2 linked regions of the Schizosaccharomyces pombe genome follow. The protein of the gene in region 1 interacts with the protein of each later gene in a pairwise test. Each region holds a gene or a part of one and is shown in the gene's direction. Other genes may lie near its edges.

Evidence for each region.
Region 2: the proteins of cao1 (region 1) and atx1 interact in a two-hybrid assay, tested with the Schizosaccharomyces pombe proteins (one study listed by BioGRID).

The regions. Positions count from the first base shown.
Region 1 is NC_003424.3:2,926,169-2,939,954, forward strand, and holds cao1 (Cu(2+) amine oxidase Cao1), read left to right. Parts: upstream 1-5,603; 5' UTR 5,604-6,628; coding exon 6,629-8,767; 3' UTR 8,768-8,947; downstream 8,948-13,786. Other genes in the region: plasma membrane ammonium transmembrane transporter Amt3, read right to left, coding at 1-278; Tf2-3 (retrotransposable element/transposon Tf2-type), read right to left, coding at 1,036-5,037; cbm1 (cellulose-binding domain-containing protein), read right to left, coding at 9,342-9,935. UniProt on the Schizosaccharomyces pombe protein: Copper amine oxidase involved in the metabolism of xenobiotic and biogenic amines. Capable of catalyzing the oxidative deamination of primary amines such as ethylamine as alternate sources of nitrogen to support growth.
Region 2 is NC_003423.3:1,113,742-1,125,119, reverse strand, and holds atx1 (Cu chaperone Atx1), read left to right. Parts: upstream 1-4,798; 5' UTR 4,799-4,938; coding exon 4,939-5,014; exon of another isoform or gene 5,015-5,132; intron 5,133-5,137; coding exon 5,138-5,268; 3' UTR 5,269-5,733; downstream 5,734-11,378. Other genes in the region: ribosomal lysine methyltransferase Set10, read left to right, coding at 1-676; GTPase-binding protein Rid1, read right to left, coding at 835-937, 987-1,519, 1,588-1,735, 1,874-2,292; chromatin modification family protein Png2, read left to right, coding at 3,171-3,222, 3,263-3,334, 3,382-4,175; translation termination factor Rrf1, read right to left, coding at 5,825-6,559; mRNA processing protein Cft1, read right to left, coding at 7,456-11,378. UniProt on the Schizosaccharomyces pombe protein: Shuttles copper to the transport ATPase ccc2. Protects against oxygen toxicity.

The DNA.
Region 1 (13,786 bases):
CCCGATGAGCAAGCAAGAGAGTATCCAAACAGATACCATTGAATAAACACCACTGCTGTAACCAAAAACGACTGAGTCAATATTGAGAGAGCCGAATTCTTTCTAACCATCCCAGCATAATAAAGAGCTATACCGGGGGTTACGGTAAATACTACCACTGTACTCAAAAGTACGTACGCTATATCAGCATTTGAGTATTCGTTGGGAAACAGTTCTGTTACAGTCGCGATAGTGGAGTTTGCGTCGCGACGTAATAGCGCATTCGGCTCGTTAAGCATCTTTTCGTACACGACAAATAAATCGTAAATCAGTCGTAAATTATACCGTACGTCACAGTATCGTACGTAAACAGAGAGATAAATAGAGGATAAGTAAAGAAAGTCTGTGAATTTCTTAATTGATCTGTAAACTAATATGTAGAGAAGTTCTTATCTCTTTACCAAAAAATCACCTAAAGTTATCAATAGTAAAAGTAATTTTCACTCTTTCTCAATTGAATCCGATTCACAGATTTATTATTTAACGATATAGAACCACTTTCGGTAAACCAACGTTATTTGGCGCCTTAAAACGTCTTATTGTATTCTAAGAATGAGATGCTGTATATTTTAGTGTAGTATGCTATCTTAAAAAACATGTAAGCTACGCAGTTTGGTATCTGATTTAAGGATACGTAGAACTGCGGTGAGTTTTCCTTGTGATCTATTATATTACGATACACAGGTTGTATAAGTAGCAACTGAGTATAGGTATTGTATTAACTGGGTTATAATGTTACCTATCACTAATATAGCTCATAACTGAACTGAGGAACGAGGTTCAGCAGTAGCTCTATTTATAGTATTCAGATAATATTGATCTTAATAGATTATCATTAAGATCAATCTCCATATCGTATCATACATGGTACGATATATAATTAGAACATGTGACATATAGTGATACTCAACGTAGTGTATTATAGCGTAGTGTAGTATTGCTGACATTGCCCTCCCCAAGATTTTCTATGTAAATCTGAGGATAAGTCATATGTTCTCAGATATTTAGATTATTGTTTTTAATATAATCATTGACAATTGCTTTGTCCGCTTGTAGCGCTGTAGCTAATGTAGTCCATCCTGACATAATAGTACTCGGATTTAGATTCGAAATGTACTTGACATTTAAGTAGAGTACTTGTTCTCTGTTTTTATGTTCTAGGATATGAAGAATTGTTCCAATATCAGACTCATCAATGGTAGCGTAATTGAGTTCTGAATTATGTCGATACTTTTCTAGGTGAGAAACATGAAAAGTAGATGAAAACATGTGCTTGATTGAATCTGGAAGATCCAATTCATAGTTGTTTGGACCCGACTTCTGTAACACATAGAACGGTCCTGCAAAACTAGGTGCTAATTTATTGGATTTATGAAGAAAACCTGTTTTCGTTCTTTTGACCATAACTAGGTCTCCAGGTTGAAATTCTTCAATTTCTTGTATTTTCATATCGAAATACTTTTTCATCTTTATGTTGTTTGTATTCAAGTGTTCTTTAACTGTTTGAAATACTTGGATCGTTTCCTGAGAGTTTTCGTCAGTTTTGTCACTAAAGCTAGGTAACTCTAAAGGTGATAAAGCTGGTGAATAGCGATGTACTATCTCAAAAGGTGTCATTTGAGTTGCTGAATGTATCGCATTGTTGTAAGATTGTTGCACTAGGGATATATGATCTACCCATGTATTTGGATGTGTGCTACATACACATCTTAGTAATTTCTCCACAGTTTGGTTTGTACGCTCAGTTTGTCCATCAGTTTGTGGTCTGTATGGTAACGAAAATTTCATAACGAAATTATATTTATGTGCGAAATCTTTCCACGTTTGGGAAGTAAAAATATGATCATTATCTGCAATGATTTCTTTTGGATTGCCGAAATAAGCAATAACTCGTTGATCAAACATTCGAGCTGTTTGCTCTGCTGTAATGGATTTCGTACAAGGTACTAAGATTGCCATTTTTGAAAATCGGTCAACTACCACGAAAAGTGCATTATAACCAGATGATTCTGGTAAAGCTGTAATAAAATCCATTGATAAAGATTCCCAAGGTCTTTCTGATGGGGGAATTGGTTGTAAAGGTCCATAAGGTTTATGATTCCTAGATTTGTTTATTTGACATGTATGGCAGTTCTGTACATATTCTTGTATTTGTTTTCTTATTCCTTTCCACGTAAATCTACGTAATATAATGTTTGTAAGAAGTTCAATGCCTGGATGAATCAATTTACCTTCTTCATGATACTTTTTAATAATTGTCCTAGTCAGCTGAGTATCATTAGGTAATAAGATTTGGTCTTTACTGTTAATTAGTAAGCCATCTTTGAGTTGGATATTCTCTTCCACTCGTTTGTCTTCATTGTTTAGTAAATTCAACAATTTTGTATCATTCGTATATTCTGTAACCACTTGGTTTTTAAAATCATCGGTTATCGAGATTTGATTAACAAAGTTGATACTATTGTCTTCTGAATCTTTTGGAATTGGTTCTGTTTCGTCAACAATTCTGGATAAGGCATCAGCTATGTGATTTGCTGATCCAGGTCTGTAGTTAATTTCAAAGTTGAAGTCTTGTAAAAATAATTGCCAACGAGCTAAACGTTTGTTTTCAGGCTCGGATTCGTTAGTAATGCGACCAATTAAGTTTCGATGGTCTGTTAAAATTTTGAAAGGTTCGATAGTGGATTCTAAATAGTGTCTCCAATGTTTGAGAGACTTAATGATTGCAAGCATTTCTTTGTCCGATACGCTATAATTTAATTGTGCTTTAGACATCTTTGCTGAATAGTATCCAACAGGATAGTATTTATCATCATCATGTTTTTGAGACAATACGGCTCCTACAGCGACATCTGAAGCATCAGTTTCCAGTAGAATCTTTTTACTGAAATCAAAGTGTCGTAGCACCGGAGGAGAAACTAAACATTGTTTAATGTTTTCTATCGCTTGGGTTTGTGTTGGTGTCCATTTCCAGCGTACATCCTTTTTCAAAAGATTATTGAGTGGATGTGTTAATTGTGATGTCTTTGGAATGAATTTCCTAAGATAATTGACAGAACCTAGAAATTGTCGTAATTCTTTACGATTCTTAGGTTGCTTCCATTGTAAGACTTTGTCTATATTTTCTTGACAAGGCGTAAATCCTTTTTCCGAAATGTGATACCCTATAAATTTTACTTGTGATTGGTGAAATTCACATTTTGCTTGATTGATAATTAAGTTCGCATTTTTCAATTTCTGTAGAACGTCTTTAACATGTTTTACATGTTCAGATTCCGATTTTGAATGAATTAAAATATCATCCATATAACATACTACATGTGATTCTTTGGCTTCACCAAGTATTGTATTGATAAAGTATTGAAAATGTGCTGGAGCTGTAGATATGCCATAAGGCATTACTAGATATTCAAAAACTCCACGAGGACAGCGAAAAGCAAGTTTATGTTCATCTCCTTTTCTTACTCGTATCAAGTGATAGGCACTTTTGAGGTCAAGTTTAGTAAAAATTGTAGAACCTTGTATTTTAGCAAGTAATTGTTCAATAAGTGGTAACGGATATATATTGGGTTTGACATACTTATTTAAAGGTTTGTAGTCAACCACCATTCTCAAGGTGCCTTCCTTTTTCGGAACGAACATTACTGGACAGGCGTTAATGGCTTTAGATTCTCGTATAATTCCACTTTTTAATCCTTGATTAATTTCATCATTCATAGCTTGCATTTTTCCCGGTGGTAGCGGGTAATTTCTGATAGGTAATCTGTAGTTTTCTTGAGTTAGTTCAACTTCAAATTCTAACCCTTTTATTGGCTTTGGTAGCTTTTCCGTATTGGTTTCTGCAGTAATGTCTTTGAATTCTTTATAGATATCTGGTAACTCAGGTTCCTTGACAATATTTGAAACTTTGTTCATTTGAGAGAGCGTGTGTTTACTGCTAGATATTTCAATGTTATTGTCATATAATGTTGTGAAGGAGATAGCAGCTGGATGCGAAAATTTCTTTACAACCAAGAATTCTGTTTTGATTGATATTCCATTTAGACTTATGTTAAGTTTTATTGTTTTGCGATTAATCTTATTTGGATAAACTCCACCATATATCACACTTTTTGACCAGGGTCTGGTAGGCAGTTTATGTGCTCGAACAGTTTCTTCTGTTATAATATTTGCTTGAGCGCCCGTATCGATTAGACAGGGTATTGAGCACTTGAAGTCTGGAAGTTCAGCTTGTAATACCATTTCGTAACGTTTCCTAGTATGATTTAGGAATTTGTTAGATGAGTATTCTATTCTCGAAACATTTGTCTTCCTCAGGTTTCTGCTATTAGTGGTGTTATTTTTCTTTGAAAGGGACTCTTTTCCTAGATTTTTATTTTGCGGTTGAAAACGCTTGTGAGTTTTACCATACGAGGCTGTTCTTTTGTCCTCTAAAAAGTCATAAATTTCACTGATTTCTGATTTCCAGTAATTTCTTTCCTTTAATTTCCTTAAGGAATATGGCAGCATCCATAATATAAACAAGCGAGTATGGAAATCATCAACATTTGCTTTTGACATGAGTTTCCTTATAAATTGAACTTTGTCCAATTGATTTCTAAAACCTTCAAATGTTTTAGTTAAACGATCACCTTTGTTGGATCCTTGTACTTTCCCTGTTTGTCTGAGTAATTCTTGCCATGTAAGACTTCCATTCTCAGAAAACATGCGTTCAGCGAATTGTTGCTCTAATTCTTCTAGGTGATTCAATGTATACTGTCTTTTAGTATGCTCATTTGGGAATAATGAAGGGTATTCAGTAAAGTGTTGATCAAGTTTTGAAATGTAACTTTCAACATCCTTATTTGGATCGAATTTCCCTATCTCTGGTACATGCTTCGATAATATTTTTGCAAAAAGGTTTATTAAATGTTCGTCTGATGTTTGAATTCCATCCAAATTCTCTGGTCTCCATCGTTTTGCTCTTGCTTTCATATAACGATAATTTGCGTAGGACATTGTATATGTTTCCCTTTGGGAGATTTCAAAAGGGATAACAGTCCTTCCAAAGTTCCTTCTCCTTTGAACCCAGAAGGAGAGAAATATATATATTTATGATATATATTTATTCAATAATTCCTTTTTCCTAAAAGGAGTTAATTGTAGATCACAAGAGTTCAGTTATTGTAAGCTACGCAGTTTGGTATCTGATTTAAGGATACGTAGAACTGCGGTGAGTTTTCCTTGTGATCTATTATATTACGATACACAGGTTGTATAAGTAGCAACTGAGTATAGGTATTGTATTAACTGGGTTATAATGTTACCTATCACTAATATAGCTCATAACTGAACTGAGGAACGAGGTTCAGCAGTAGCTCTATTTATAGTATTCAGATAATATTGATCTTAATAGATTATCATTAAGATCAATCTCCATATCGTATCATACATGGTACGATATATAATTAGAACATGTGACATATAGTGATACTCAACGTAGTGTATTATAGCGTAGTGTAGTATTGCTGACAAAACAAAGACAGACGCGTTTCAAAATAAGATGTAAACAATGTTTTGCACTTGCACTTTGCCTAAACTATTTTCAAGGAGAGATTGCTTTAGAAGACTCTTCTGCAAGTCCTGGTATTAATTTCTAATGCGTGTACCTCGTATTTTAGTATCTTAGAATGGTTTAATATACTAATTTGACATTTTTTTTTATCTAAGTTACTAGGAGCCTTATACTGACTGATATTTTCTTATTTAATTCATCAACCAACAAATGACTTGAATGAATACGTTTGCCTCCGTTTTCAATATCGATAGGTCTCATCCCTTCTGTAAGGGGCGTGCACTATAGTGAACAATCCTGTTAAGTAGGATTATCGAACCCGACAGATAAAGTGTATATCGGTGATTAAAAAGCATTATGCCCAATGAGGCTGGAAACCGATTTGTGAACGGCGCAAGCTGGTATCGAGTATTTTCTCTTACATTATAGATAGGGAAGTGTATTAGATGCTGAATAACATCAGGAATTATCTAAGAGACATGCAAGATAAACATGAGAAACCGGCTAATATGGGATATTTACAACGAATCAATGTATCATTGATCCTTAAGGGTTTGATTAATCGGCTAAACGAAGTTATTTGACTGAATAGATAAAGTGTCGAGCATGTTGACATTGAGATCATTGTTATAAATAAAATAGATGGGAACGTCAATTAGTGTTATTGTTTTTCAAATTCAAGCATAAGTTGATTTCTTTGAATCTAGGCTCGTAAAGATTTGTAAAGTCACATACATCCCTCGATCCGATCGAAATCATACTTAACCATATAAACCCTTATTATTGAAAGCGATTTCTGCATATTTGGCTATCACTCTCAGTTTCACAGCCGAAAAAAAGTCTAAGAGATAAGGCGATAATTTGTTAATATTTTAAGTTGCTTTTTTTTTTTTTAATTTCTTCTTTTCTCTAGTTTCGCATCGTGTTGCTTTCTGTCTTGTTTATTTATAATCTTAGTTATCTAAAATTTATATATTTTCATATATATATATATATATATATATACATACGATATCCCTTAGCTAGCTGTTGAATATGGCTTATTATCCTCACCTTCCCTATCATCATCATCACCATACTTCCGTTCCCGGTGAACGCCTTAGCGATCCTTTGGATCCGCTGTCTGCAGACGAGCTAAAACTCGCTGTTGAAATTATCCGTCATGAGTATCCTTCCAAGCACTTCGCGTTCAATGTAGTTACTCTGGAGGAACCCCCGAAAGCGAAGTACTTGCATTGGAAATACTCCAAGGAAGACGCTCACAAGCCCGAGCGAATTGCGTTGGCTGTCCTACTCGAAAAGGGCGTGCCAGGTATTTTGGAAGCGCGGGTCAACTTGACTAAAGCAGAGGTTATTCAAATTGAGCATATTACTGGAGTTTGCCCGATCCTTACAGCTGACATGCTTGTAAATACTGAACAAATTGTACGTAAGGATCCTGCTGTTATTGAGCAATGTATTTTGTCGGGGGTGCCTCCTGATCAAATGGATCATGTTTATTGCGATCCATGGACTATTGGATATGATGAGCGCTATGGAAATACACGACGCATGCAACAAGCTATGATGTACTACCGTTCTAATGAAGACGATTCTCAGTATTCGCACCCCTTGGACTTTTGTCCCATCATCGATACTGAAGATCAGAAAGTCGTTGCTATCGACATCCCACCCGTTCGTCGTCCTCTATCTAAGCACAAGCATTCCAATTTCAATAAGAAGGATATTGAGGCCGAGTTGGGTAAGATGCGTGAAGTGAAACCAATCTCCGTTACCCAGCCTGAGGGCGTCAATTTCCGCATGAAGGGTCGTTACATTGAATGGCAAAACTTCCGTATGCATATTGGATTTAATTATCGCGAAGGTATTGTGTTATCGGATATATCTTATAATGACAATGGCCACATTCGTCCTCTCTTCTATCGTATGTCAATCGCTGAGATGGTGGTTCCTTATGGTAATCCTGAGCACCCTCATCAGCGAAAACACGCCTTTGACTTAGGTGAATACGGTGCTGGTTACTTGACTAATCCCCTTGCTCTTGGATGCGACTGTAAGGGTGTTATTCATTATTTAGATGCTCACTTTGTGAACAATACTGGTGAGGTGGAAACCGTTAAAAATGCTATTTGCATTCATGAAGAGGATGATGGTGTTTTGTTTAAGCATTCCGACTTTCGTGACAAATTCCGTACTACTATTTCTGCACGCGGCATTAGATTGGTAATTTCCCAAATCTTTACTGCTGCTAACTATGAGTATATGGTATACTGGATTTTCCATATGGATGGTGTTATCGAATGCGAGCTTAAGTTAACCGGTATATTGAACACGTATGCTATGAATGAAGGGGAGGATCTAAAAGGTTGGGGTACCCAAGTTTATCCTCAGGTTAATGCACACAACCATCAACATTTGTTTTGTCTCCGTCTTAATCCAATGTTAGATGGATACAGCAATTCGGTTGCTGTTGTAGACGGTGTAAGTGGTCCTGGTGAGCCTGGATCCAAAGAGAATTATTATGGAAATGCTTTCACCACTGAGCGTACGGTACCTAAAACTGTTAAAGAAGCCATCTGTGATTACAATAGTGATACAAGCAGAACGTGGGATATATGTAACCCAAATAAGTTGCACCCATATTCAGGCAAGCCAGTTTCATATAAGCTTGTATCTCGAGAAACTCCACGCTTGATGGCCCGTCCAGGATCTTTGGTATCAAATCGTGCAGGTTTTGCTCGTCACCACATCCATGTTACGCCATACAAAGATGGGCAAATTTATCCTGCCGGTGACTATGTCCCTCAAACATCTGGCGAACCAACTAAAGGTTTGCCTGAATGGATTGCTGAAGAGCCAGACGCTTCGGTTGATAACACGGATATCGTTGTTTGGCACACTTTTGGAATTACTCACTTCCCTGCTCCTGAAGATTTCCCATTGATGCCTGCAGAACCCATTCGTCTTTTATTACGTCCTCGTAATTTCTTCCTTCGCAACCCAGCTCTTGACGTACCCCCTTCGAAGAATGTTACTACCTCTGAGGTGAAGCAGGCACACCATCATGGTAATTTACACATGATGGATATGATGAAGAGTCTAACAGATGCCACTTCTGAATTTGCATTTGGAGAGAAATTTTGCGAAAAACATAAAGGTGATCACTTCTTTTAGAGATTCAGATATTGATTGAATGACCCGAAACCATTTTGGAACGTAGATGTACATATAATGAGAAAGCCATGAATCAGCTTTTTATTGGAATAAGAAGTGATGTTTAGTTTTTGGTTAATCAGTGTATTAAATACTAGCTAACTGTCAAATCCAACAATACATATATCATTATTCCTTAAATTTTCTTCTTAGTATTTATTATTGACGAAGTATTGAATGTGCTTAATCTTTACGAAATTGATTATACTTAAAACGTTTTATTAATATCTTCTACTAAGGCAAGCATAATCTATCCGCATTGAACTTAGTCAAGGATAATGCCTTTCCCAACCGAATTTAAAAATCAATGAGAATAACAAATATTGAAATTTCAATTGATATTGACAATAGTAATTACAGTTGTCTTCTTTTTCTAATATCCATTTTCCTAAAGCCAAAAAAAAAATAAAATAAAATAAAGTTAATTTATTCATATCCATCAAACGCGAAACATAATACACATCGTAAAATTCAATAAAATAGCTCCAAACGATTGGTATGTTGAATCGTTTACAGTTATTCTATGGCTGTCAAATTAATAGCCGGTAACATTCCAGCCAGATGATGGCAAAGCAGAAGTTGTATTGGTACTAGATAGTACAGTGGAAAAACCGCTGCTAGAGAGACTAGTGAAACTGCTTGTCGACACACTGGAAGAAATAGTGCTAGAAATAGAAGGGATTGAGGTAGTGGAGGATACAGCGCTAGGGCTGGATGAAGTCAAAGTAGTAGACGACACAAGGCTGGAGCTGGATGTAGTCGATGTGGTGGAAGAAGCAGCACTAGAGCTAGATGAAGAAGGATCGATATCAACTGGAATACATTGAGAATAATATGGACCATTGTAAATACATTCGGATCCTGGCTCACAGCAAGTTGGGCCATTGTAATTGATGCCGCCGCACTGTTGATATAACTTTGCACAGGGTCCTGTATAATCAACTGGGATACATTGCGAATACCAGGGATTTGAATAGATACAAGAACTACCTACTACACAACACGTGGGGCCATCATAGTAAATACCTCCGCAAGTCCCATATCTGGGTGAACACTGGCTTGCGCTTGTTTTGGAGACCAGAGACAAAGCTAATGTCAATACTGTCAAAAACAAACTTTGAGTAAGCATTTTAAACGAGAAAAACACAATACTAATAGACTCGGAGAGAGTAAATTTCTAAGAAAAGAATAAGTTCAAGGGTTACTTTAAAGTTGCAGAGAGATATGTTTCTATTTCTGAATACCACGACAAAACAGACTTATAGCAACAGTCGATCCTGACAGAGTCGCCTTGCCCATGACTTTTTATACATCACAGAAGTAAGACTTTCACAAACGTAGCAATACTGCAAGGCAGAAATGTAGACGTGATCACATGGTGGGCCACCAGTGTGCGAATGAAAAGACACTAAAACCTTCTAACGTTCCCATAAAACGATCCAATATTCTTTCAAATAAGATCATATTAACCTGCTCTTGCATTTCTAGACCAGGGCTCTCATGTCTAACCGTCAGATCAGGTACCCCTAAGACCGTGACTATTTGATTTTTCGAATCATACAACCTGCCTATTTTATCTTATCAAAAATTATCATACGAAAAGTGACAAGATGGTTAGACATTTGACCATTACGACTAACATCCGAAATCCGCTACAAAATACTACCTGTAAAGGTGGTTGGGATATTCACATCATTCCTCTAAGTATATTGTCTAGGTACTTTCTCAGGGAAAATGGTACATATTTATTGTGTTTGCAAAGCATCATCAACTGACATATTTTGATTTGTGAAAACACAGGGAGTATGTTAGGGGCATGCGGCAATGATTCCTGCAATTGTTATGTTATAGAACTTTGTCAAAATTGTATGGCATAAAGTTCTTTTGAACGAATTAGAATATTTAGGTCATCATCAATGTCAAAACAGCTTTACATCGGCCTTAACCTTCATTTTGCCGCGGTTAAAGAAAGTGAAGAATTGGTATTTTCTTTTATTCTAATCTATTACATTTATCATATATCGTTGATCGAATTGTGCTTTAATATTTTTTTCTTATTTTTATTTATTTTTTCTTATATATATATATGAACATGTTATTTGGGTTTTCTGCCTTTTTTTTTATTTATTTTATTATTTTTTTCTTAGGTCTTTTCCAAGGATCGAAACTTCGGCAGAAGTAGCGCATCATACGGTACTAAAAGTGGGCTGGCACAATCGACATTTTTTCAAAAAATAGCTGCCGATGAACCAATTAACAATTTTTATAGTAAAAATTACAATGCAAGTAGTATATGAAAACCATTAACATTAAGTGAATATTGTAAATTATAAACACATTCAGAATTAGGCTATAAAAAAGTTATAGTGTTCACCAGAACATTACTTCGTTAATATTTATCAAGGGAAAGCACTCTATTATATGATAAATAGATTTCCAGTTATAAGCGATGCAATGCAGTAATTGGGTTTTCCGAGATGCTTTACGTTTCCTTTTAAGACAAATTGAATTCAACATAGGTAGATGCATTCATGTAGGAGTACAGCTAACTCTTGCATTGGTTTTTAAAAAGCATAAAAAAGAAAAAGAAAAAGATATTGCTAATTATTACAATCGCCAAATTCATATAAATGCAAAAAAATAGTGAGTGCGAAAGAAATTCACTAAATAGAAAAAAATATTTTTTTGAGCATAATAAATAAGAGATTGAAATACTTCACTGTGAGTAAATAAGTTCGCAATGTAAATTAGAATTGAAATTATATATCTAATCAAAGACGTTTCATATGGAAGAACAGTGTTGAAAAACACTCAACTTCTTTCTGCTTGTCTAATTTTTTGGTTACGAATTTATCAATTTATTTTTATTTTATTTTTTTAATTTTTAGTAATGATTTTTAAAAGGTGGAAACCCTTGTTTACATTTTAGGATGTGAAAACAATACATAACTTATACTAGCACATCAGAAATTTTGTATCGACCGAGGGTAAAATTTCCTTCTTCTTATTCATTACTCTACAAAGGATTCCTCACTTTCTCTTGAAAGCGATTCACTTTGGATTTTTATACAGCTAGAATAGTATTTCAATTCAACAGCATAATAGATTTTGCGCATCCGAAGGAGCTAGTTGGATTCCAATAACTACCAATTTACAAGAGTAGAAATAACCACATTGAATTTGAGAGAGGCAAACCTGCAATCTATTTGAAAGCACTCTTTGATTTTATCTCAAGTCGAATGTGAAGATTCAATACCCATTGAAAGTTGGCCGTGAAATTCGCTTAAAATTTTCATCGCAGAGAAGAAACAAGGATGATATTGCGATAATGCAAAAGCTAGAAATTTTAGCACATACTAAGAACTTAATTCTTTCTGGTTATTTTTAGATTTCTTTTTTGACTATATTGCGTCCTTAAAATTTTCTAAATCATCTAGATAAGGCGAAAATTAACAATGGTTGCTCATTTTTAGTTCATCGGATAACTAAGGATGCGCAGTTACTTCTAAGCATCAAAGTTTGGGACTTCAAACTGTGATTAAGTGCAGCTAATTGTTATTAGAACATCACAAAACGTTTATTGAAAAAACGTATAGCATAACCGAGAAACACCTGATATAGTCCTAAATTTTTACTTTACCAACATGTGATGAATTCTTTGATTCCGTTCAGCCCAGTTGAAATTTCATTATTCCGTTTAGCCTGTTCCCCGTGCAATGTAGACCTAGTCTACGCCGGTTAGCGTTCCGAATAGATGGGCAAAAAATTTGATACTTCACAAAACACCAATTCCGGATCGACGCTTTTTAAATTGGTGGTAAGGTATCAACTATGGGGAATCGCTTGAATATTGAAAGCACAAGATAAATCTTTGTTTTATTATCTGCCACAATGTTTTCAATTCAAAGCAATTTGATGAGACACTAAGTTTTGTATATACAATTTTAATGATCTTAACAAATTACAGGAAGCGTTTTTTAACTCTAAAATTATGAAACTGAGATGCTTAGTCAGTATAATAAATATGCATCTCCATCGGAGATGCAAGAACAATAATTTGCATATTTGCGCATCAAGCTCTAGATTAAAAAAAAAAAGGGTCAAGATGGAATTATTGGACATTAAGTGGTTTACTAGCTATAGCACAAAATTTGTATAAAATACGATAGCTGACATTTCTGATCTTTCATTGATTTGCGAATCAGTTTTCCAAATCAAAGGTTTCTCGTTTCTATCACAATTTCTTTCACTAAAAATAACAGTGGCTTCAAAAAGTTGACAATATCTCATAAAATGTTATTGAGACTATTCGGTTTATGGATGTATCTGCTTCCTCATTACCCAAAACACAACTCAATTTCAAAAATATTAAAAATTAGAGTTAAATTAAGCCTCGTCTAAGCGAATCTATTTTGTTACTCTGAGCTCCGCATTCAACATTAGACAAATTAACAAAAGGAGGGTTCTATTCTTGTCAAGCGAAGTCCCGTGTTTACTTTGTTTCTTTATTTAGAAAAAAGATTTTTAGAAGGCAAAGCGTTATATTTATATATATTTAATATTTCGCTATTGCTAAAATTGGGGGTTTTCTTTTTTTAAGCAGGGCATCTGTCAAGGTTGTATTTCTAAAAAGCAAACAAATCAGTGCTTTCACTGAAAAGACGAAATTTTTTTTACCTTCGTTCTAATTTTTTTTTCTTAAGCTCTAAGTTGGTTTTACTTTAATATTGTCCACGATTCTTTACGATTCTTAGGTTGCTTCCATTGTAAGACTTTGTCTATATTTTCTTGACAAGGCGTAAATCCTTTTTCCGAAATGTGATACCCTATAAATTTTACTTGTGATTGGTGAAATTCACATTTTGCTTGATTGATAATTAAGTTCGCATTTTTCAATTTCTGTAGAACGTCTTTAACATGTTTTACATGTTCAGATTCCGATTTTGAATGAATTAAAATATCATCCATATAACATACTAC
Region 2 (11,378 bases), on another chromosome or scaffold:
AGCGCATTTGTTGACGGGTGATCTAGCTTCTTATGTCCCTTCTTTACGAGGCCAGATTAAGTCCTTGGAAGTTTTACTTATGTACATCGACTCTAGAGCTGACCTTTTGTTAAAATCAAATCCGCAAGTATCTCCGACCTCTGAAAGGCAGGTTTGGGCCAAAATTTATCGCGATAGTCAGATTAATATTCTTCAAGACTCCATCACTTATGTCAAAAATTATATGGAAGAATCACTCCAAAAAACTTACAAACCTCTTCCAAACCTTTTGCAATATCTCATCCTTAATTCGATATCTATTTTCCTCTTGCAACATCCTTTGTTTGCACCACTTTCGCATGCCATTGAGAGTCTCTATGGTTCAACCGATGCTGAAGCATTGGTCGCTACAGATGAGCAGGATATTTTAATGATATTGATTTGTGTATATTGTTTATCTATTTCTGAAAAATTACCTTTCTCAATTAGTATGCTTGTGGAAGGGTATCCAGCCGTTGCTAATCCAGAAGGTGTTGAAGTCTTTGAAATCTTGGATGAAATGTTTTTTCAACAATTTACAAACGTATTTGGGGAATCCAAGCATTTTAATAAAGAAAATGTTTCTTGGGCATTGCAATTGGTAAATGACGAAAGTCTCGACTTTTCTGGATTTACCTTTATTATTGCCCATAATTGATAAATAAAAATTAAGCGATTAATATATAATGTACGATGAGTATTCCAATATTGGGTTAGGTAAAGTAGATGACAAGACGTATTTTGATAAATGATTAAGGTGTTTAGTGTCTTTTATATACATAGGATGATTGTAGTGCATAGAAAATTAGGGTAAAGTTAGGTTGATCCAGTTTGCACAAGTTTGTATGGCCAATCATCAATTTTAGCAGCCACTATCCATTCACGAAGGGCTTCATGTAGCTTCTTATGGAATTTTTGACTAGATTTGTAAGTGCCTGCTTATATAAATATTGAAAAAAATTGCTTACCTGCTCTTTCGAAACCGTAACCCCATGATTCTTTCTAATCCACTTAGCTGGAGTTCCAAACGTTTTCTTTGACGTTTCTCTAAAGGTAAGCCTTCGAGTAATTCATTAATAAGATGGATGTGAGCTGCAACATAGCTGGTGGCTTCGGTTTCTATACCACCAATAAACCCCAATGGAGCCTCGTACACTTGATTATATTGTTTCTCCAAATCAATGACATTAGAATCGTGGTTCCACACCCAGAAGACATTACGGCTAACATCTTCAAGTTCGATAATCCAACGGCGAAAAGGTCGATCAACTCGAACGTTTTTTAAGAATTCAACCTCTTCATCCTTATCGTCTTTAATAGAAAACAAGGAAAAAACTTGCATTGCACCTTCTTCTTTGTCGAGATGAGCTTTGTAAAAGGAGTGAACTATTTGAACGAGTACTTCCCTTACGACAAAATCACATGGCTGTTTCTTTGAAAGCAAAAGGGAAATCAATCGCTCGACATTATAAGTGGATTGAGATAAACATTCCAATCCGCGCTAGGAAAAACGTTAGCAATTGTCAAAGGCAATGAAGACATAGGTCTAAATGTATATCACATGCATACCTGAACAGTGCACATGGCTTTAACGCAAAGTAAAAGTTGCTCCAGTATAGAATCGTGCAGTTCCTCTCTCCATTCAAGGCGAGAGATTTTGTCGATTGTACAAAATACTACACCGAAACCGCCGTTGTGTATAAACTTCTCTACCCATCTGTATTGCAGTTAGTATGAAAAACCTCAAAATAAACGAATGATTTATCATTCAATCAAAACAATAGTAGTGCCAAAAAAAAAGATAATTTAAGCATCACCACTTTGATTCACGTAGCTGCACAAAATGTAAACATACATTACTTGCTCGTTTCTGAGAAGTAGAGCTAATTTGTGTATGATAGATTCATCGATTGAGTCAATTTTTGTATTTACAATATACGAAATAAAGTCGTCAGGTTGCTCGTAACATGGTTTTTTACGCATCCAAGCAATTAATTTATTTCGCTTTTTCTGGTCTTTTTGCTGTAAACTGGACACGATTTCCATTTTAATTCCTTCATTAAGGGAAAGTAAACTCTTTGAGGCCTCTGAAGAAAGAACTTGAGGCTTGATTAAATCTTCAAAACATTGTGGCATTTCATCTTCAGAAGGGGTTGAAGGAGTCTGAAAGCTCAAGCTATCCTCTCGATCAGAAGAATTAACGCTTTCAGAGAGCCCATCAGAGCTCAAAGAGCGAGCACCTAAAAGCCGTTTTACTGAACGTAGAGAATTCATAATGTGTGTAAGGAATAGTCGTGTGGTATATTTACATAGAAATGGGAGGGCTGGTATATATTAAAATGGCACGCTGACGCGTCCGAGGAACAAGCCACAGGAACATGAAACGGACAATATCGGGAATTAATTCAATAATTAGGCTAATACGCGGAACGGTTGTTCCAATTTTTAATATGTACAATACTAAGCTATGGCCCTAGACTTAGGGAAGGAAAATAGCACATGAATGTTCGAAAAAAAAAAAGAGAAAGCTTCCGTTATTTAATAAACCATACTATTTACGCCTATCATTATTTTCATTAATAGCTATACATAGTAAATCCAACTTGCAAAATTTTGAGATTACGCGTGTTGAGTTAATGTTTGATATTGGTATATACACTATCGTATGTAAGTCAAATGAGAAGAATGGAAAAATAAGAATGTATTGAGCTTTAAGATATAGTAAATCTCGGTCTATTTTGGGTAAGAATTTTAATATGTACTTCTCAATTATCTGGAATTCACTGAAGGTTGTGAAAAGGAAAAATATTTCGGACATCCAAAATTTGCTATTATAATGAAGGTGCAACTAACTGAGTAGTAGAACCGATATCTAAAATAAATTGATTATTTGGAAATGTATGGTTAAACAAGAAGGCTCATATTACCTGAACTAACATAATGTCGTTAAAAATTACAGTTCAAAGCAGTGCTGAAATTATACTAGAATTCTGGTACATTAAAACGCGTCGCTTATAATAGAATCACTTCTTTCTATCAATAGATTAAACATACAATTTTGCTATTTCACGTAGGGATGTAGTAAAGTGAGAGAAGTAGGTGGGACATACATTTCCTACTCAGCACAACGTAACGTGCTTAGTGTCAATATCATGGGGACGAGTGGAATTGAAATATTTGCAGCTTTAAATGATTTCACAGATGGTAAGAGGCGAAAATAAACACATTGATTAACATTTTACAGCCATTGTTTCAGTCCCTGAATCAGTATGTGGAAAATTCACGAGTTTGAAAGAGATCGATGCACAAGTACGAGGTAAGTGAAATATATATTTTTAAAACGTGTGGTTAACAAAATCTTAGATATCCGTCAAAATGTCATACAGGAAATTGGTGTGGTTCTAAAAAACGAGAAAAATGACGAATTGTCAGGAGAAGAAAGATGTGAGCGATTACAAAAGACACTAAAAGAGATACTTCCATATTCTGATTCAAAGATTTGTTTGGCCACAGACGCAATGAATAATATCAAGAGTTGTATCGACCGTTTGGATGCTGGGTTTGAATATGTTGAATTGGAGATTCCCCAACAATTGAGATTGGGATATCCAGACGATCGAGCTTTAATGAATTATCATTCTACTGTGACTCCTCAAACTTCTGAAAGGAGACGGGAAACCCGTCGGCATCAAAATAACCAGCATTCCCAGCAATATTCCTCTCAGGAACGGTCGTCTTCATATAACAACTTTGAAGACGCTTCATCGCCGCAATCTTCTTATCACACCCCTACAAAGCGTCGAAAAAATGCTGTTCCTAGAAAATCATCATCACCTCCATTATCGAGTACAAAGCATGCGCCGCAATCTACGGAGAGGCGACCAGTGCGGAGATCAGAATCTCGTTTAAAACAGACAAATGGGGAACCACTTGTCAAACACGACACATTAGATTCAAGTGATATCAGCCGTGAAGGTGAGCAACTTTACTGTTACTGTCAACAAGTTTCCTATGGACAAATGATTGGATGTGATAACGAAAATTGTAAAAGAGAATGGTTCCATTTACCTTGCGTTGGTCTAGTAGAACCACCGAAGGGGATCTGGTATTGTAAAGAATGTGAAGAGTTAGCAAAATCATCTGAAAGTCGTCAATGAGCCGGGATCCTTTTTATTTTCTTTCACCTTCTTTTTATTGTTAATTTCTCAGTGTTTGACATCGTTATGAAACATCCATTACCACTGCTTGCATTGCTCTTGTTTACTGAATCAATTAAACTAACGACAACATTTCTATACCTCATAAAACCCTTATAACGATTTTTATGGTTTCGTTAAAGGATACAACCATCAGCTACGTATCTCGGTATACTATTTAATGATATGTAAAACTACGGTGTGTTTTGTTTGCAATCTACAAAAAGCGGATGCAATATGTATGAGTAAGTAATATTATAATTATTTTTATTAGAAATTTGTTAGTAACTAGTCATTGAAGTAAGGAAGCAATTTTAGGCGCAAACTTTATTAAATTTTTTCTTTGAATTTGTTTTGTTAGCTTACATACTTGTTAATAAATGGAAATTCCTTCATGCATGTTTCAAAAGCGAATTTAAATAGTATTCAAAGTAATGACAAATAGTGATACACAACATAGTGTATCATAGCTTAGTGCATTATTACTGACACACATCTATAGCAAATATATCTCTCTCGTTATTTTTTTAAGGATACCTCCTTGCATTACGTCTAAATGCTTTTACTAATGGATTTTCCAACTTATCGTTTCCCTCCTTCTCATCTAAAGTAATTCTTAAAATTGGGATTTTCTTGAATTTTAAATACTGTTTTTATTTGTGTTACAAAAAAGTTAATTAACAGTTTCTTGTCCAAATCTCGTTGAATTTTTGATCATCTGATAATGAAGTACCAATTTAACGTTGCTATGGCTTGTGATGGCTGCAAAAATGCCATCGATCGCGTTTTAACTCGTCTGGGTGCGTTTTAAAAAAAGTCATTTTTTAAGTATTTAGATTTACATTTATATAAGTATTTGTTATATATGGTTTTTCAGGAATTTTGTTGATGAATCTGTGTACTAATTAAGTAATGTCGAGTAGGTGTTGAAGACAAATCCATTTCGGTCGAAAAACAAGAGGTTATCGTTACCACAGACAAACCATATGAGCTCGTAGAACAAACGATTAAAAAAACTGGAAAGGAAGTTCGCAGCGGTAAAGTCCTAGAGTAGAGCATGGCAAAAATTACGACTTTAATCATATCTGATCGGTTCTCTCAAAAATATGCTCTTGACTTTTTTGTTGTCGCCTTATTGTTAAGATTTATATATACGACTAGACGAGGCTATTTGTTTTGTAGGATACAGCGTACTGCTTGAGCCTTTGGTGTTATTTTCCTCCAATAAATTGTGATAAACTTATAGACGTTTTCCGGTTCATTTCAATTGTCTTGGTAAGTTGAACCCCGCTTTACATGCCGTTTGTAATATTTATTGTGATCATTGTTTATTATCAGACTGCACTTTCAGTCATTTTGTTGCTATTTTTTGACTTAGGAGTTTTCACTTATTTTTTTTATTTTATTTTATACATTACATAGGCACCTCCAATTCAGGCAATAACTGTTTTCTCGGTAAATAATAGATTCACATTCATTTTAGCTACCTCTAATTGAGTTTACTCAACAATTTTGTTCGGTATATCGAAAACATAATGTAGTCGTGTTTATAAAATTACTATGAAATGAATATACATCACAAAGAGATATTAAATCTGGCGTAATTGAGATTATATTACCTTTTTCAAAGCTGATTTCAAACCGCTATCAAGCAAATTGATGGCATTTTTAAAAGCTGTTTGCATTTCCGCTTCTGCTTTATAACAATCATCGGACGTCCAAGCTTTACTTTTCTTATTTTTTGCAATCTCTTTTTTTAATTCAGTTCGCATTGCAGACAGCTGTTCTCGACTATCTTTTGCGTATCCTTCTAATACTTTGGCCAACTGCTGCCGACTTTCTAAAGTGGTTCGTTGTGGCTTCACCTCAATTGTTGATGCATTCAGCTTATTAGCTACAAACGGGTATCTGCTATCTTCAATTGCTTTTAGGATGTTTTTTATGTCAACGTCTTCAAATGGACGAATAATAATTTGCTGAGAACCTTTCTGACTAACAGCTGCAATTTCTCGAAGCAGACGACTAGGAGTAGGAGCTTTTATGCTTTTGGATGGTATGAAAAGTGCTTCTAGTTGAGTGAAATTTCCTTGACTCGGTAAAACAACTGCCTCTTGAAATCGTTTAGCCAACTTTTCGTGAACCAATTGCATTTTTGCTTCAAAGCTTTTCAACATTTTATTAAATGAATTAGCAAATTCTGGATCGTGATCATGCTTAACATCTTTATCCTTAGCTTTTTTATGCAAAATTCCACCATTATGAAATGCACATCTGGGCGACAGTATAGAAGTGTGGAACCGTTGTGAATCTTGAAACAACGTTGCTTTGCTAATAATCCGAAACATTAAAAAAAGAGAGACTGATGGATATGAGAAAAGCAATGACTAACTGATTCTTTTCACCAATTTACTACGTGATGCAGATTTACCTTATGCGTATTTGAATAACGGAGATGAAGGTATTGAAATATACAGGACAATACATTGCACTGTGTTATTAGCTACACGGTATGTTAAGGTCTTTTTATGAATACCAAATTACTACGTTGATTTTTCATGCTATCCATATATAATATTATGTAGGTGCGTTTACTGTAATACTTATTGATGTCTTATGTAAATAAAATATTGTATAGTATAATAATTTCGATGAAATAACCTAGCTTAATTAAATGATGCACGTATGTTCAATTGATCTATTTTATTAATAATTTTGATCATTTATACAAGTTAACAATTTTGTTTGTATATACACGATAATTGTCAGAATTATCGCATATTGCTATCCTGGGAGATAAACACATAGAGGAATAATAATAGGTAATGAAATGCATAAAAGCGTTTGCTAACCTATTCACAGGTTGAATGAAATTGAAAATTCCCAAGCCGTTGACCGTATATGAATTTGGTATTTATATATAAGGATCCTAGCCTGTAAAAATGATCAGTGGTTAACATACCTTGTACTCATCATATCCTTGTCAACAAACATGTATATACAAAGTATAGGATGCTTTTATACTAATGTTAAGTAAATTACTCTTTTACCAAATCATATGGTACGTCAATCTTCGCGAGAAAATGAGCTTCAAACACTAATAATGAAAGCATCCTTTTACAATATTTGCATTATTACTTTTGCCATCATTTATGTTGTTTTTGTTAAGTGCATCCTGCTATAGATCATGGTATCCTTTAGTTTCAAAAATATGCAAAAAAAATTTTTAAATAACTACGCCCAATTACATATAACTTAAAGCTTCATCCAACTCTACCAGATCATTCATAATAGTGGATACTGGAACACCACATTTATGAGCCATCTCATGTCGATGAGCAACTGACATATATGTAAAGTAATCGATGAGCATACCATCGAGAATTCGTCGAGTTGGATTAGTCAAGTTGGATGGGGAGGTGATGAGACGATAGGACTTGGGATTTAGGCCGCCTATCGTATTAACACGGTTGGCAAGGTAGTTCTGGATAATGTTCAAACGACGATACACCCGATCAGAAATCGGAACCAGCATTTGAAGTCCACCATCACTATTTACCATTACACAAGAGAAGTCATCTCCCGTATCATAACCATACTCGGCATTTTGATGCTTTTTTTCTTTTGGCAATATCGTCATAGCAGTAATTACATTTCCTATATGGAAATCTCCACGTGTTACAAGTCTTTCACCAGAATGAGATTCGGGATTTTCAGGATCATATGCAAGTAATCTTAAGTTTCCAGATGTATCGGCCACTACAAAGTATAAATTCTCACCTTGCACAAGAAAATCTGCAGCAGATACGTTGAGCGCTTCTTGACCTTTAGAAAATAAAGTCATTCTGTATGGCTCTTCGGCAAAACCGACAAACGTTACGTTTTGTCGGACATCGCCAAACAATAACAAATTTCGCAAACATTTAGCAGACAATGTATAACTCCCAAGGTCAATAAAAGAAACGCCAACCAAATGGTCTTCGTCTTCCAAAGCACGTACAATTACTTTTTGGCCTTGACCACTCAACAAATACCCATCAACTTCGCATACCACCGCGACTGTACCCTTAATTTCCTCTCTAGTCACTAATTTCAATTTATGACGAGTTTCTGGTCGCCCGGGTTGAGGCACGACATCAATAATTTCAAATAAATATGTAGATCCGCGAACAGCAATATCTTCACCTTTGGTGATAGAGGTCCCTACAGCGATATATGGCTTCCTCAGTTTAGTTGTTTCAGAAACTTCAAGGTTAACCAAAGCAACCGATAAGGGAATCTCAAATTGTTGAAATTCATAACTATCTATAACAGTCCACGTTAAGGGGGAAACAAGGTCAAGCGAACCGGTGTTGGCCATTGGAAGATAATCATTGTCATCAGTAATCGCATAAGGCTCGTTTCCATCCTCGTCAGTTACTTTAAACTCAATCGGTACGGCACTTCCAACAGCATAAACCATTTTTGTAGGATGATAGGCTATTCCATTGATTTGTTTTCCTAAAGAAACTTTCTTGTAAGGCCATTTATTGTCGTATTCAAAATCTTCTTGAAATTTGCAAATGCGAATAAATGAGTTTTCATCTACATATATATAACCCTGTGGCGCATGGTGTGCATGAAAAGGTGCAACAGATAAAATTGGTATGTTGGAGGATATAGGAAAGAACTTGGCATTTGAGTGAAGAGTACTCAAAATTAAAAAGGGTTTCCGCCCAGTTACAAAAACTGCGGAGTGATTGCCTACTACTTCTAAAGCTGTCATTTTTAAATGATCAACAGAGCTTGAAGCCTTTTTCTCCATTGTAGATTCTGCATCTCTGGGAGTCCCAACATTTGCTTGGAATTCCCTTGTCATTGTTTCTTGTGGTACTTTAGCAAAAGCTAACAAATTTTTATGCTTATCAGTGTTAGAATATAAGAATGCTTTGTAGACTGTAATCTCGTTTAGTCTTGACCTGAGAAATAAATGTGGCTCCTTGAAATCATCACCTAAATCTGCTACAAGTAATTCAACAAGTTCTTGACTGGATTCTTTGTTAAAATAGGTCCTCTCTGATTCCATCCCATTAAATAATGTAGGTGGTAAATCGAAAACATCGCACTCCATTAAAAGGGAAAAATCTGCCAAGTTGTAAACTTTTAATTTACCTTCATCAGTCAAAGCAAATAATATTGGATGTTTTTCCAGAGACTCCTGATCTAAATTACTAACATTTTTTTCAGTGACGATGGTGTTGTCAACCTCAGGAACATCATCAGCACTTACTGACTGATCATACCCCATTTGATCATTATTACTTGTTTTATGGTTAGGTTGAATATCCAAATCTGTCTCAGAAGCTGAATCATTCATTCCATTGGCTATTTGACCCTTGGCGTTAAGGGTTTCGTTATAGGTAAAAAGCTTTGCAAAAAGTGCAGAACTATCAGGGGAAACTAAAGAAGCTGTCTTAACATCCGAAAGTCTATTTTGTAAATCCGTTTTGATCAGCCTTTGGGATTTTAAATCCATTTTGTAAAGAGCGATTCCACCACCCAAAAAGACAACGATTATACAAGGATCACAAATGCTTGTTGAGACGACTATTTGTTTTTTGCTAAAATTAAAAAGTTGAGTAAGACGTAAATTTGAGTCGTATACACGCAGGCTAGTAGGACATATCTGAACCATACGCATACCGGAAAGCAAAGAGCCGACATTAAGTGTCTTCGAGTCCTTAGAAAAGTCAGAATGCTGTACCTCATCAAAGGTTTCACCTGCCAAAAATATAAACGACTCCTTCTCTTTAGAAAGTACAAGATAAGTTTCTAACTCGGGATTTGAGTATTGAGCTTGTATTCTGCTTTTCATATTTCGTAGCTTTCCTGAAATACTAACGGTCCATAGTGCTTCACAGCCGTCAAATTGAAATTCACCGGCTATTAATGGAAATATGTTTCGCCGAAAAACAACAAGACCGCCAGCACCGTCAGCTCCTGCTGTACCTACCAATTCCAGAGGTCCATGGTTGTCTTGAGGGAAATAGGAGTACGATCCTGCCTTTCCAACGGCAAAGTCAGTAATTGGACCAATATTTGTCAATACATCACATATTTCTAGACGTAGCGGGCCGTTTTCATAAGCAATCTTCCTTTTAGAACCCACGGATTCATCTGTTTCATAAATATCAAGCATATCATCCATTTCAGCATCGTTCGTTCCATAAAGAGTATCGTCTCCTTCATCCAATCTTACCTCCTCATTAGTAGTACGCCGAGACCAACGAAGCAAATAACTGTCAGTAGTCTGGCTACCTAAGAAAACAAGATTTTCGCCAGCAGGCACTGCACAAGTGATTCCTGATTTAAGAAAGTCATCATTAATTTCTAAATCCAAAGCTTGTAATGACAGTCCTTTGACTGATTTACCATCAAGTAAAAAATCTAGATAAAAAAATTGACCGGACGTGTGCACCAATACGACAAAGGGAGTTTCAGTCTTACTACTTGTTAAGGGAATGGCAATAGTCCCCTCTAGTTCCAGGTTAAAATCAGACTGGTCTTGAAGTGGGAAATCAGTACACTTTGAGTAGTAAGAATTTACGCCGATACCGACAGTCCGGCCAGCGGAATCAACATATATAAGCTCATTTCCACCCAACAATAAAGAACCTCCAAGAGGCGTAGGTATTGAAACCGATGCGTAGATATCGTAGGGAAGTGATTGAATGGTAGTAATAACGGCACTAGCGCGTTGCTCTAAGTCTAAAGTTACCAATGAAAAGAGAACGGTATCCTTTCTTAATGGTAAAGTAACGGTAGAAGTCTGTTCGGGACTATATAGAATGGCTAGTGTAGGCTCGCGATATCCGTATAGAAATTTAACGTCAAGAATTCGTGAAATACTAGCATCCAGTTGAGAAGAAGCTAAGACAAAGGAGGGTTTGTAGGCATAAGATGAAGAAATTTTAGAATTTTCTATAGCAGCCTCTTCCATATCCAAATCTTCGTTAGCTGGATATGGAATAATAGCCATCATATCAGTTAAAAATCGTAATAGGCAACAGTCGGAATCCGGATCCACCAAGAGCTGTGTAGGGGTATGAGAGGAGCATATATTTGAAGATTTGACATCTTCATAATAGTGAAGACTATTAGTTACGAAGCTCTGACTTTGCATATCCC